Linked DNA regions of Mytilus edulis. The protein of the gene in region 1 interacts with the protein of each later gene in a pairwise test. Links are inferred from orthologs where the notes say so. Each region holds a gene or a part of one and is shown on either strand. Other genes may lie near its edges.

Region 1 (7,835 bases):
ATAGGATGGACAAAGATACAACTGAAAGGCTGTAAAGCCCTCTACACTGGCTGTTATTATCGTAAACCAGATAATGATCCTACACCATTACAGAACTTGAATACTTCAATTAGTAGATTAACGCATAATAATACTCTGCCTAACATAATACTTACTGGAGACTTCAATTTACCAGATATTGATTGGGATGAAGAAGACTCAAATGGAGGATACACCATCAAATCAAGCCATAACTATTCCAACGAAATAAACAAACTAGCATTAGACATTGTTGAGGAACACTGCTTGCAACAATGTGTCACAGAACCAACCAGGGAAAAGAACATTCTAGATCTTGTTCTCACAACTAATGAAAATCTGGTACAGAAAATGAGCATTACTGATGGAATGAGTGATCATCAGATGATAATTACAACTGTCAATGCAAGACCAAAGGTAATTAAGAACAAGCCCAGAAAAGTCTATCAATATAAGAAGGGAAATATGGAAAAAGTTCAAGAATATTTGAACAGCAAATATGAAAATTTCAAGGAGAAGATAACAGAAATGAACATCGAAGAGTACTGGACTCTATTTAAAACTCACCTTTTTCAAGCAATGGACCTACATATACCATCCAAAAATCTGACATCGAGATTTAACCTACCTTGGGTGAACCAACACATCAAGAAGATGATACGTAAAAAAGAACGACTATATAAAGTTGCAAAGAAATACCAAACTAAAGAGCACTGGGATAAATTCAAGCAATATAGAAAAGCAGTAAAGACAGAACTTGGTATATCACATAAGAAGTATATATTTGATATGTTAGAAGTAAGTCCATCAACATCAGAAGCTTCAACAAACACACAAGACCAATACAGAATAGGGAAAAAATACTGGAAATACATCAAATCTAAAAAGAGAGAAACAGTGGGAGTATCAACACTCAAAGTTAATGGAGAAATATTAGACAACAGCAAAGGAAAAGCAGAAGCACTTAATGCACAATTTCAATCAGTGTTCACGATTGAAGACTTTCAAAGCTTCCCTAAGATAACTGAAAATGAAACATCAAAAATACCAAGTCTACACATTAGTACAGAAGGGTTAATCAAACTATTAAAGGGAGTGAACCCAAGCAAGGCAAATGGTCCAGACAATATATCGTGCAGAATATTGAAAGAGTGTGCAGAGTCAATATCACCATACTTACAGTTAATCTTCACCAAAACATTAAAAGATCAAAGCGTACCACAAGACTGGCTTATTGCAAATGTCATCGCACTATTCAAGAAAGGGGATAAGAGTCAACCAGTCAACTATCGACCAGTATCCTTGACATCAGTTCCATGTAAAATAATGGAACATATTATATTTAAACACATAATGAACCATCTTGAGAAGTATAATATACTTGTGGACTTCCAGCATGGCTTCAGAAGCAAAAGATCGTGTGAGTCACAACTAGTCATAACAGCAGAGGATATAACCAGAAATCTGGACAATAACCAACAGGTAGATATGCTAATATTAGACTTTAGTAAAGCATTCGACACAGTACCACACCAGCGATTGTTGAAGAAACTAGCATCATATGGTATCGATGGAAACATACTTGCATGGTTAGAAGCTTGGCTGACACAAAGAGAACAACAAGTCACACTGGAAGGAGAAAGATCAAGTACTGCTAAAGTAACATCTGGCGTACCATAGGGAACAGTGTTAGGACCATTGCTGTTTCTCCTATACATAAACGACATCGGGAATGACATAACATCAAAAATTCGCCTGTTTGCAGATGATAGCCTACTCTACCTAGCAATCTCGTCAAAGGATGACTGCAAACATCTACAAGAAGATCTCGACAAAATGGTAAAATGGACAAAAATTTGGCAAATGATATTCAATCCTTCAAAATGCTATGTCCTTACAATAACCAAAAAAAGGAAAACCATCAACTTCAACTACAACATCAATGGTCATATCCTGGAATCAGTTGCATCAAACCCATACCTAGGAGCTGAACTCACCAACACCATGTCATGGGACAAACAAGTTAACAAAGTTGTCACCAAAGGAAATAAAGCACTAGGCTTCATACGAAGAAATGTTGGATCATGTCCAGAGGCAGTTAAAAAACAAGCCTATCTTGTCCTTGTCCGACCGCACCTTGAATACGCTTGCAGCGCATGGGACCCTCACCTACAAAAACATATTTATCAGATTGAGATGGTCCAACGCCGTGCAGCACGCTTTATCAAAAGCAATTATTCAAGGGAGCCTGGAACAGTAACAACTCTTCTAGAAGAATTAAATCTAACACCACTAGAAATAAGAAGAAAAGTAGCACGTATAACACTCTTTCATAAAGCCATCCATGAAAGAGTTGCTATACCTATTCCAACGCACATTATAAAACCAAGAAGAACGTCGAGACTCCACCAACCGAACACTAAAAGATATGTACAAATCAGGCCAAACAAAGATATCTACAAATACAGCTTTTTCCCTAGGACCATCAGAGACTGGAATAAACTACCAGATGAACTATTAGAGATCGTGAGCAGTGAGGAATTCAAGACCAAACTCACCAAGCTCCTCTGTAGATGCTAGCAACACAGACAGTCGATACTGGTAGAAAATGTTTTTAACCTGCACCTGTATATAAATTTTTAGCACAATTTTGGAACCATTGTTTGTAAATATAGAAGTTTATTGTCATGTTGGAGGACGTCAAAAGTTAAAACTATACTTGAGTGATGGGTCGAAGTACCCTTTTCAAGTGACGACATAGCTCCGCTATGTCGTAGATGTAGATGTAGATGTAGATGTATTTCGATGGTAACAGGAACGTACGTTTCTGATATATCACTATACAAAAGTCTATCCTGTTACCTTCAGTTTTTGTCTATCCTGTTACCGATAACAGTATTGCACCTGCGAATGCTTAATTGGGAATATTAAGACGTTATAACCTTAAGATGAGTTCAAACAACGAAATATTTCATTCGTTTTGCACCTATATATTAAGATAAAAAAATTAACGCCGTGTTTGTCTACAATTGTCTATCCTGTTACTGTAACCATAGCAACCATAGTAACAGGATAGACAAATTTCTTTGTTTTTGATTGCTGTTGTGAAATAATTACTCCCTTTGGTGAAGTGATTATGTTTTTGTATTGTGAATTTGATTTCCAGCACGTTATTGCACTTTTTACAAGTATACTGTTGGTGTAATTAATCAAAATTGGTGGTAACAGCATTGACATGAAAAAAAGTACGCTCTATTTTTTTCACTTAATGTCTTGAAATTTCTTTTCTCTACAATGTCGTTCAAGAAACGAGGCGTTTTAAATGTAAAGATTACTTTGCACTTTTGAGATCAACACTGACTGATTCAATATTCATAGGGAGAATAATTTAACGGCTGATTTAAGTAGCGGTAACAGGAAAGACATGAACCTCCTGTAAGCTGATTCAATTTAGTTTGTAGATAATATGTTACATACAATGATAAAGAAGCTACAATTTTTCGTTAGAGTAATATTTAACGATCTTAAAAAGTCCCTTTTGCAGATATCAATGCGATCAGAAAATCGCAAAAAAATCATTTCAAATGTGTTTTTCTGACAATGTACGCACACAAATACCCCCGAAATCGGTCTTAAATGCAGTTTAATCTTATCAAAATAGATGTAAGGTGTGTTTATTATTAATGTTCTGAATCACAAATCCGACAAGCTTTCATTTAAACCATTACAACTGAAATTTCCATTAGAAATGAAAAAAATTAGCATGGGTGTACTGAAAATTCGACATTTTTTTTTAAATGATGCGAGATTTCCTCACGGGAGAAAGGAAGAAAGACCATTCACAATATGCCTTACATTTGTTTTTTTTCCTCTTTTAATTAAATTTAAACTTTCTAATTTAGAGTTTATTAGATACAAATATTCCCTGTGTAGGAACCCCCCCCCCCCCTCTTTCCTCCCTTTTTTCTTAGTTACCATCACTGAGATCCAAATTATTGACAGTCAGCTATATATATAGTTCCCAAATGTATCAAAATCACAGTACTCGATTTTTCGGTACTGACATGATTTATAACGCAATTGTCTTTAAAATAATTGTCTGTTGATGAATTTAGAAAGTATCAAAAACTAAGGTTCACGATACACTTCCCGGCAAATGTGACCGGCGGCTGTATCTAGATAGATTTGGAGTAACCGTTTAGATCCCTTTTGTCAAATATATGCAGCTCGTTACATATTCAAGAACTTAAGCTATAAATATTTTGATTTCACCTTTTTCGATCATTGAACGTTTATGTTGAAGGAATAACCGAATGGACTGAATATATATATATATACCGTCTTAGATAAGGTTTTTCAGAAAGCTAATGCTTGTTATGTGATCCGGTATCAGTATAAAATTCGGGATACAGAAGAATTTTTTTATCATTATTTGTTATTTTAAGAAAATTATTGCTAATAACACAAAAAAACATCAAATTTCAAATAATTTACGAATTTTTATAGTTTTATTTGAATAGAAAAAAGTTTGTTTAGATTTGTTTACGCTTTTTAACAAGTCCCACAATGCATTGCTGAAATATTTTTCAAAATGGAGCACATAGTTGAATTTCCTATGAAATAGCATCACAGTATCCAGGGAAACAACATCTTTCTTGTATGATTGTATACGATCAGCCTCAAAAACTTTAAAGATCTACATATGAGTCTACATTTTCACTGGTTTTTATAATTTTAAATCCGCCGAATCTGATCAAAATATTGTGTAAACATGTCGCAAAAAAAAGGGGGGACGAAATTCTTCGTTACATGTTAGCATTTGCAAAATTTTCTCGATTAAATTTTTGTAGGCTTTTGATAACAAATGTTTTCAACAACAGAATGGGCATGGTACAAAAGACAGAACGATCTTTAGTACTTTACAAGTGGAACAAGATACATTTTGAATGACAAAAGTTTATTTTTTCCATTTTCTACCATTTTTGGAGTGGTAAAAAAAAACAATGAGACAACACTCCATCCAAGTAGCAATTAATAAAAGTAAACCATTATAGGTCAAGGTACTTAGGGTTCTCACTTAGGATTTTTTTTAAGTCCAGGGACTCGTCATTTTTGGCCATGGTCACAAAACAATGATCATCAGTCAGAGCACTCAGGCAGAGCTCAGACATAAACAAGTCGATTTTTGTTTTTGACTTAAAGAAGTTGAAACATGTATTTATTATAAAAATGTGTTTTCAATTTTAGACTTATCTTAGTCAGAAAATGACAGACTTGTTTAGGTCTATTTATTGTGATTAAAAAACTTAACTATAATTTTACTTGGTGGCCAAAGTACACCACCTGTGACAGCAAAAACCCGTCTGAGAGTTCTCAAGGACTTGAGCTATCTATATTTAATTATCTAATTGAACATCCTTACTAAACACAGATGTTTTACCGCATTAAGTGTGGTTCCAGGTGGTTGCATTGTATGGTTAATTAACATTATCTCCGATTTTTTAGACTCTCATTCATATTTTTCTTTAGAAGACAAAGCATTGTCTTTTAATGTTGTCATTATTTGATTTCGATGCATGACCTTTTTATAAATATGCGTGGGTCTTGAAGTTAACCAATTTTGATAACTTATCGACTTGTCAATGCTTGTAGGAGTCGATATTTGCAACTTTTTGATTCTGGTCAATTATTTCTTGCTTAACAATATTGACTTATTAAGGTCGTATTTTGTCTTGCATTAAAGGGAGAAAAATCCTAAAACTAAAAAATTTAGACCTCTATGAGTCAAAAGCAGATTCAGACTTATTTATGTCTGAGCTCTGACTGATGGTGAGTTCAACCGTCAGAAGAAAATATTTTACTAAAATTTAATTTATCATTTTAGTCTCCATGACCTGATAGTGCAATGAAACTTTTGCTATAAAATGATGATATATGTGTTCAGTTTATACAAAATATATCAATTTTGCTGCTTCTTTGGACTTGTGTTTGAAAATGGTGATACCGTATGGCCTTCATCACGAATTCTAGACAGTTCGGCACCCAGACAAATCGGTACCCGGACAAATCGGCACCTACCAAAGACAAATCGGCACCCGTGAAAGACAAATCGGCACCCAGACAAATCGGCACTTAGACAAATCGGCACCTCACATAGACAAATCGGCACCTTATAAATTATTTATCTTTGATCTATATATAGTGAACCAAAAATTATGTTTGAGTGTTATTTATTTGTCTCCTGCACTATTTATAACATTATTGTCAATATTGGACATTGTTTCTTTGAATATGTATCTTATTAAGTGGTTTATTCCTTTTAGTTATTTGTTCGGCACCCAGACAAATCTTTGAATATGTATCTTATTAAGTGGTATATTCCTTTTAGTTATTTGTTTGTGCACAGGACTGTACTGCAGCTTAGTCGTTTTGATAGGTGTATTATTTGTGTGAATTCTTTTTTCTGACTTTATAGATTTCACCACACATGTACTTGGAATGTGCATGTACTAGTTTTAATGTAATCCATAATTCTGTTACCATTGTATCCAAAATCAATAAAACACATGTAGAATATTAATAATATTTATTTATTATATCTATTATATATTATATTCAACAGTTTATGCATACATGTAATAAATGTAATAAATAATAAATAATAATAAATAATAATAAATAAGCTGTATTTAGAGTCTGCAAAGTATATTTTTAACCGACAAACAAAACATTTTTAACAATACAACACATAATACACAGCACAAAATGAAGCACTAAAAGCATGGTTCATGGTTGTAATAAACATGATAAACTAGGTCAAAAGCATACTATAGGTATGAACACAAAGGTTAAATACTGAAATCATAACATAACATATAGACAAGCACTATAAGTCTTAACACTCAAAGTCACTTTGGTGGTGGTCCGTAAACACTGGCACACTCCTTAAGGAGTCTAGACGCGGAGATGCTGTTGTTGCAATACTCGTCCCACAAAGCAAAAAGACGGCCCTGGGTCTGTCTACTCTGTTTGCGCTGGTACCTTTGGAGCTTGCCTTCAGACACTAACTTAAGCACCCGGATATATAAACGTGTATATTCTAATTTCATGCGTGAGAGAGACGATAACAACTAAGGCAATAAAACATAATCAATTACAAAAGAACAATACAAAAAAGGCATCTAGCTGTTGTTTCGGTCTTTTGAAAAAAAGTTATACAGCTGTCCGCTTACAAATCTTATTGAGCGTTCTTGATGGAATCAATTTCATTAATATGTATAGATAACAAACATACCTCTTTCTTTATCATGACAGCTATCACAGACCCTGGTTCTGCTGGGTGGACATGCTCTTTCATACCGGGTTTGAAGTTGTCACCATCTTGAATAACAGTAGCAGGGCAGTTGATGGTCTTGTTACGCTTGGTGCAGCGCCAGAGGATGTGGTCATTCTTCTGTTTCTGCAATCAAAAATAAAAATATATAGGTCTTTTTTATAATTGTAAAAGTTAATAATAGCAGATACTCTCTTACAGCCGACTATATATAAATGTGTATATATCCAATAAAAATTATACTTGCTGTGTTTTATATTAATTTTCTATTGTATAAAATTTTGATATTGTATAAATGTGTGATTTGGTGCTAATCTCTTATAGCCGACTATGCAGTATAGGATATGTTAATTGTTGAAGGCCGTAAAATGACCCAAAGTTGTTATGCTATTTGGCCTATAGTGTCTCATTGGTAACCATACCTCACTTCCACATTTAATTTTATGTTAAAATTATCTGATGTTTCATAATTTAATAATATAAA
Region 2 (7,386 bases), on another chromosome or scaffold:
ATTGTATATAAATGATATGCTCTCGTTAATTATCCATTTTTAGATGGTGACGTTCCCTTGTCACCATCTTACGGTGTTTATATATCTCAACTTGTACGATTCGCTCATGTATGTAACAATGTTTTAGATTTTAACGAGAGAAATTTATGTATTACTGAAAAATTATTACACCAGGGTTTTCGATATCACAAACTAGTCAAAACATTTACTAAATTTTATCATCGGTATAAGGACATCATTCGTAAATGTAGCTCAACATGCAGACTTCTTATACGTTCAGGTATTTCACATCCGATATTTTATGGAAATATTCTTTATAAAGCACAAAGGTGTCAGTATTCACCTCAAAAACTAACAAAACCTTTGAATAGACTTATTAAGAAGGGATATAGTTACGATACTGTTGTCAGGTCATTAAAGATTGCATATTTTGGCGTTAATATTGATTCACTTATAGGGTCTTTGCATCGGAACTAAACACATTTATTCAAAAACCAGTTGTTGGCATGACACGGGTTATGTTCTTCTCATATATGTTATGATGGTATGATACTAAACCCCTAACGGGAAGGATTGTGCCTGATGTTCATATGATGAAATCATAATCTTTCAGTCAGTTTAATGGAAGTCTGGAGCTGGCATGTCAGTTAACTGCTAGTAGTCTGTTGTTATTTATGTATTATTGTCATTTTGTTTATTTTCTTTGGTTACATCTTCTGACATCAGACTCGGACTTCTCTTGAACTGAATTTTAATGTGTGTATTGTTATGCGTTTACTTTTCTACATTGGCTAGAGGTATAGGAGAGGGTTGAGATCTCACAAACATGTTTAACCCCGCTGCATTTTTGCGCCTGTCCCAAGTCAGGAGCCTCTGGCCTTTGTTAGTCTTGTATTATTTTTATTTTAGTTTCTTGTGTACAATTTGGAAATTAGTATGGCGTTCATTATCACTGAACTAGTATATATTTGTTTAGGGGCCAGTTGAAGGACGCCTCCGGGTGCATGAATTTCTCGCTACATCGAAGACCTGTTGGTGACCTTCTGCTGTTGTTTTTTTTTTCTATGGTCGGGTTGTTGTCTCTTTGGCACATTCCCCATTTCCATTCTCAATTTTATCTATTGAACTTCTCTATTGACTTTAGATACATACATGTATCATTTATTTATGATCATGTTTACCAGGACTAGATTACCAATCAAAACACATCCAAACGAATTTAATGTATTGTAAGGCCCAAAAGACATCAAAACAGTCAGATGAACACATGACTTAACCTCTGTGTACAGTTAATCATTTCTTTTTTACTCTACAAAAATGCTCTAGTTAATAATATCAAGTATAACTGTATAACTGTACATGTTGTATACCTTCTGTGTATTTGTGATTAAATGTTGTTCTTCTCTGCCTGACGTGATTAAAGGTACTTTGCAGATAGGATCAACAGCAGCCTCCATCTGTTTTACAGCTGCTTCAATAATTCGTACTAAATCTTGAACTAAGAAGTATTTAGCCTCTTGTAAAAGTTCTAACAATTCTTTTCTGGTTTCTGGTAATGGTACAGATCCATCTCGGAGGAAATTCAGGATTTCTCCAAAGTGGCTTCCACTCCTGTCTATTAATATCCATCCTAAAATAGACACAACTTGATATATAGATATATAATGCTAATCTAATTTTATGGATATAGCTAAGTAAACATATAAGATGTGTAAGGTTTATTAGTTTTTCAAGTATAAATTTTATCATGAGGGACAGATTTAAAATTTAAAATTAGTGGGTATTTCATGATCTTGATGATCAATTAATGTACTTATTTCCCAAGATAAGCAATCATGGCAATGGTAAGTATAAACATGGTAAAGTTAAAAAAAAAAAAGAACCGTTTCATTATCATGCTTATGACATTTATCATTTTTATTAAATCATAATGGAGCAAATTCAACAGCAGCTCAAGTCTTGTCAGAAGTACCACATGTATATTGATGCTACTGTGCTATACCCCCTCTTGTATGCTTGTTCTTAGTCTACAAAATTATAAGACTCAATTGTAAATAAAGGCAACAGTAGTATACCGCTGTTCAAAACTCATAAATCCATGGACAAAAAACAAAATCGGGATAACAAACTAAAACCGAGGGAAACGCATTAAATATAAGAGGAGAACAACGACATAACACTAAAATGTAACACATATAGACAAAATCCCACGAGAATAACAAATATAACATATATATATAACATCAAAACCAAATACATGAATTTGGGATAGACAAGTACCGTGACACGTCTTATCGCAATGTGAATTTACACTCAAAAATAAGAGAAAACAAACGACACAACGTTATAATGTAATACACACAGAAACGAACTATAATATAACAATGACCATATTCCTGACTTGGTACAGGGCATTTTTAAAGGAAAAAATGGTGGGTTGAACCTGGTTTTGTGGCATGCCAAACCTCGCACTTTTATGGCCATATGAAATATAACATCAAAATGACAACACAGGACTACAATATAAATAAATTGGAGAACACAATTGACAAAGAATCACACGAACAACAGCCAACAAAAGGCAACAAGTTTAAAATTTTAATACGCCAGAAGTGTATATTGTCCACACAAGACCTATGTGTGACGCACAGATACAAAAGTTTGAAAGCCGAAACAAGTACAAAGTTGAACAGCATCGAGGACCAAAAGATCAAAAAGGTTGTGCCAAAAACGGCAAGGGTTTTCCGTTAAGTTACCAGAAAATCCCTATAATTTAGAGTAATTTATACTTTTGCAAACAGTAAATTTAATAAAATGAATATTCAAAAGATGTACATGATAAAGCTGAAGTATTAACTAATTACAGGAAACAACTGAAATACATTTACATAACCAGACATTTGAAACACAAAAGTAGACACATCCGAATAAAAGACTGTGTACCACCAACTTATACCAATTGACTGTATAAACCTGTATACATTAGATGAATCCATGTCATATCGCCCTGCTTTTTCACCAACTCGCCCCACTCTTGTTTACCAACTGAGTTGGCAGGAGTAAATTTAACCCTTTTCACAAATGGGGCAATTTTAGAAAATGGTGCCAGTTTATAAAAGAGTGGGGCGATTTGTCCTGCTTCCCATTAGATATACATGTACATAGTATCATCAGAAACAGATGCCAACATCGTCATTGATTTCACGTACATGTCTTCTTCTAAGTTCTTCTGTTGACATCCGATGATTACATGCTGTTGGCATACATGGATTATTTACAATATTTTTACTCCAATTTAAACAAAGTGGAATTAAAGTGCAATGAAAATATCAAATTATATGTATATTATTATTAACCAATTAGGAATAATAACACTGTAATATATATGCAACATTTAACGCTAAATGAACAAGAGTTTAATAGCATCATCTGTGTCATCACAGTGAATTTGACCATGATTTTTACCTTCTGAATCTGTAAGAACCTCCATTCTGCCACTAAACATTGCCCGCAGCATTGTGTCTTGTTTGGTTAATGTCCCAATGGTTGTATAGTGGAGGGATCCACCAACATTCAGCTTCACATACTTGGACGATGTTCCTTTTATCACAGTTTTTGTCTCCCCAGACATAGTAAGTGACATTAAATACAAATTTGTTATAAAATCTTCACTAATACAGTTTGTTCTGTGGTAAAATTTGTCCAATTGTTGTAATAATTGTTTTCCTTTTTATGAAATATGATAATTCAACATGTTTCCTTCTTGAATGAAAGAACATGTTTGTCTTACTGACATTTTAAACAGTGTATTTATACCAATTTCTAAATATAGAATTATTTAATGCCTGAAAGTTGACGTAATGTCTTGGGAGTGATATGCAAAGTTAAAAGAATGTTGGTTTCGTATGCATATGAAAACAACTTAATCTCTGTTTAAATTTTTCCTTTCAAGTTTGGAAGTTACAAACATATCTTTTATTATATTACTTAAAATACAAAATTAATTCTATTATGTTTTAATATTTTGTATTATACGAAACAGTAAATGTAAACAAGTACCTGCTGATTTGAAAAATCTTGGTTTTATTTGCGCTTTGTTTAACAGTGGCTACGTTATTCTTTCAAGCACAAAATTGATTGGACAACTTCCTTGACATTCCATTCTGTTTGAAGATGGCAGACGAAGCTCTTTCAAGAGCTGGTTTACACTTTGATGAAATTAACAAAATTAGAGTCCTTGAACCCGAAGTAGCACAGCAAACACAAGAATTAAAAGAAGAATGTAGAGAATTCGTTGAAAGTATGACATATACTAACTGAGAAATATTGTAATACTGATTAAACCATTTCATTTTTTTTGTATTGAATAATTATTTTTGGTTAGATCATATGTTTTCGTGTTATGCATGCTTTTTAAATGGAAATTGTGAGGTCACAATACATTCTTAATATGAGGCAGGCATTACCTGTAAATGGGGACGAAGTCTGTATGAATTATTTTTTTGTAACTTAAATATTTGTTAAAAAACAAGAAACGGAAATACCGTAACGTTTTCGATGTTGGTTCTGTTGTTAGGGATTTTAGTTGTGACGCTATTTAAGTTATGACGTCATATGCAATGTAAACAAAGAAACGCTATCATCAGGTAACGTTTTTTCATATCAAGGAATTATTAAAAATGAAATTGGTATTGCGTTCCTTCCTATTTTGTACTAGACTGATAAATATATATTTTACTCAAAGTTTCATACAAACGAGACCGGAAAAAGGAAATACATTGTAGATTTCTGCGCAGATGCGGGAATTCAAAACATGACATCAAAAAAATTGAACGATTTTGAGTTCATTCATTGTCCTTAGTACAATGAAAATTTATTTTTAAAATTTTTTTTTTATTGATTTTTCTACTGTTTTTGGGGACTTTGTCCCCATAATATGGTCTCAATAAATACCAACAAGAAGAAATTGATAAGCAACAAGAAGAAAAAAATTGTGACAAGAAACTATTTACTGTTATTGTATCAAACATGTCAAAACAATAGATTTATAGAAAATTTATCATTTGATTATACATGTATTAACTATCCTTCATTGTTTCTTCTTGTCACTTATAAGCATTAACATGACATTTAATATTAACATGATAAATAGCATGAAAACTCACATGGCAAGGAAATATTTATATATCTTTTAAACTCATTAGAGTGCATGACGACTCACCTTTCAGCCAGCTGCCTAGAGATGTGAAAATATTATTTAGCACTTGTCATTTTTTTTTCTCTTTCTTTGCAGAAATTGGAGATTTTCAGAAGATTGTAGGAACTTTTATAGAAGTTGTTGATAATGTTTCCAAAGAAGTAGAAAAAGAAAAGATGAAGGTGGGTTTTAAACACAACTCAGAATACATTGTAAATATAACTAATTTTTACTACCCATAAAAGAAGATGGTGGATTTCCTAAACTGTTTTGCTACATTTTTCTTTTCATTTGTAAAAAAACCCACTTTTCCATCATATATTTGATGTAAAATAAGTAGATGTTTGATAAATGTTTGCATATGAGACAACTAGCAGAGACAAAATGAGGAAATGCTAAAATGAATATAGGTGAATGTGTGTTCTTCAACAATGAGAAAAACCCATACCGCATAGTAAGTTAAAAAGACCAATACATTGAAAAACTTTAAAGCAGTTCAAATGAGAAAATAACCTGACTTTTGGTTAAACAACAAACATAACAGACATCTACCAATGTCAAATATCAAATACATTATAACAGCCTACTAACTTATGCTTGGTACAGGCCCACACAAATTATGCAGCAGGGCTAAATATATTGAACAGCATATATATAATAGAAAGAAAGATGAACTGCTAAAATGTGTTATACATTGAATTAATTTTTTTATATTATTTCAAACAAATATATCAGTATGGGATTTTTTTTATAGCTGTTAATCATATTCATAATCATGTGTAGATCAGGTTTAGAATATCAATAATGTGGTCATTTTCATAAATTTCCTGTATAAAAAACTTTGAACTTTTTGAAAAACTAAGGATTTTCTTATCCCAAGCATAGATTACCTTAGCCGTATTTGGCACAACTTTTTGGAATTTTGGATCCTCAATGCTCTTCAACTTTGTACTAGTTTGGGTTTATAAATATTTTTGATTTGAGCGTCACTGATGAGTCTTATGTAGACGAAACGCGCGTCTGGCATACTAAATTATAATCCTGGTACCTTTGATAACTGTTTACACCACTGGGTCGATGCCACTGCTGGTGGACGTTTCGTCCCCGAGGGTATCACCAGCCCAGTAGTCAACATTTCGGTGTTGACATGAATATCAATAATGTGGTCATTTTCATAAATTTCCTGTATAAAAAACTTTGAACTTTTTGAAAAACTAAGGAGTTTCTTATCCCAGGCATAGATTACCTTAGCCGTATTTGGCACAACTTTTTGGAATTTTGGATCCTCAATGCTCTTCAACTTTGTACTAGTTTGGGTTTATAAATATTTTTGATTTGAGCGTCACTGATGAGTCTTATGTAGACGAAACGCGCGTCTGGCATACTAAATTATAATCCTGGTACCTTTGATAACTGTTTAGACAGAGGCCATTCAAAATGATGCCATTTTAATTTTAAGAAATTTTATGATACTGAATTATTTTTCATTGAGTACCAATTTTAGTTGATTTCTTGAGGAGAAGCAAACCACAAATTTATATATTCAATGCAGTATAATTCATCTATAAAACACTAAAATTAATATTGCTACCCATGAAAATAAATAAATACGTGTACTGGAGACTGATGTTTGGGCTTACTAAAAAAAAAAATTCTCATAAAGACTTAATTTAATGCATAAACTGATGAATACAAGATGTCAATATACAGTCCATAGAATAATTAAACTTTGACATGAAGTTTTGCCACAGCACATCAATGGACTTATACCTTTTTTTTAAAATTCTTATGTAATTTATTATTTGTATATTTCAGGCAATAGGATCTAGAAATTTATTAAAATCTATAGCAAAACAAAGAGAAGCACAACAACAACAGCTGCATGCTTTAATCACAGAAAAGAAAATGCAATTAGAGAGGTAAATATTTGCAAATTTGCAGACACAAAATATTGTCCTTTTATTATTATTATTTGATCATGTCAAAAAACAAAACATAAAAAAGTGAAGGATATTTGCCTCTCTATTTTAATTAGTAAAACTATCAGCTACATAATGTGTGTTAGTTCATGATGTGAAATTCTTACACCAACATAAAAAAGCAAAGGAACTTTTGTTATTCATCCTAAGTTACATGAAAGCATGACCTTTTGCTTGGCCTTGCACCTCACTATACTTAAGATACGCTCT

The links.
Region 2: the proteins of intraflagellar transport protein 140 homolog (region 1) and intraflagellar transport protein 20 homolog B-like interact in a protein complementation assay, tested with the Caenorhabditis elegans proteins (2 studies listed by BioGRID). The link is inferred for Mytilus edulis from reciprocal best matches to the Caenorhabditis elegans genes che-11 and ift-20.

Annotation. Positions count from the first base shown.
Region 1 is NC_092352.1:66,726,893-66,734,727, forward strand, and holds the start of intraflagellar transport protein 140 homolog, read left to right. Parts: upstream 1-4,581; 5' UTR 4,582-4,675; intron 4,676-6,926; coding exon of another isoform or gene 6,927-7,148; intron 7,149-7,312; coding exon of another isoform or gene 7,313-7,477; intron 7,478-7,835. Other genes in the region: uncharacterized protein, read left to right, coding at 1,855-2,598; uncharacterized protein, read right to left, coding at 6,927-7,148, 7,313-7,477.
Region 2 is NC_092349.1:35,084,014-35,091,399, forward strand, and holds the start of intraflagellar transport protein 20 homolog B-like, read left to right. Parts: upstream 1-4,123; 5' UTR 4,124-4,173; coding exon 4,174-4,300; intron 4,301-5,293; coding exon 5,294-5,379; intron 5,380-7,012; coding exon 7,013-7,116; intron 7,117-7,386. Other genes in the region: BTB/POZ domain-containing adapter for CUL3-mediated RhoA degradation protein 3-like, read right to left, coding at 1,371-1,630, 3,466-3,643. UniProt on the Caenorhabditis elegans protein: Component of the intraflagellar transport (IFT) complex B required for transport of proteins in the motile cilium. Required for ciliary entrance and transport of specific ciliary cargo proteins such as che-3 which are related to motility.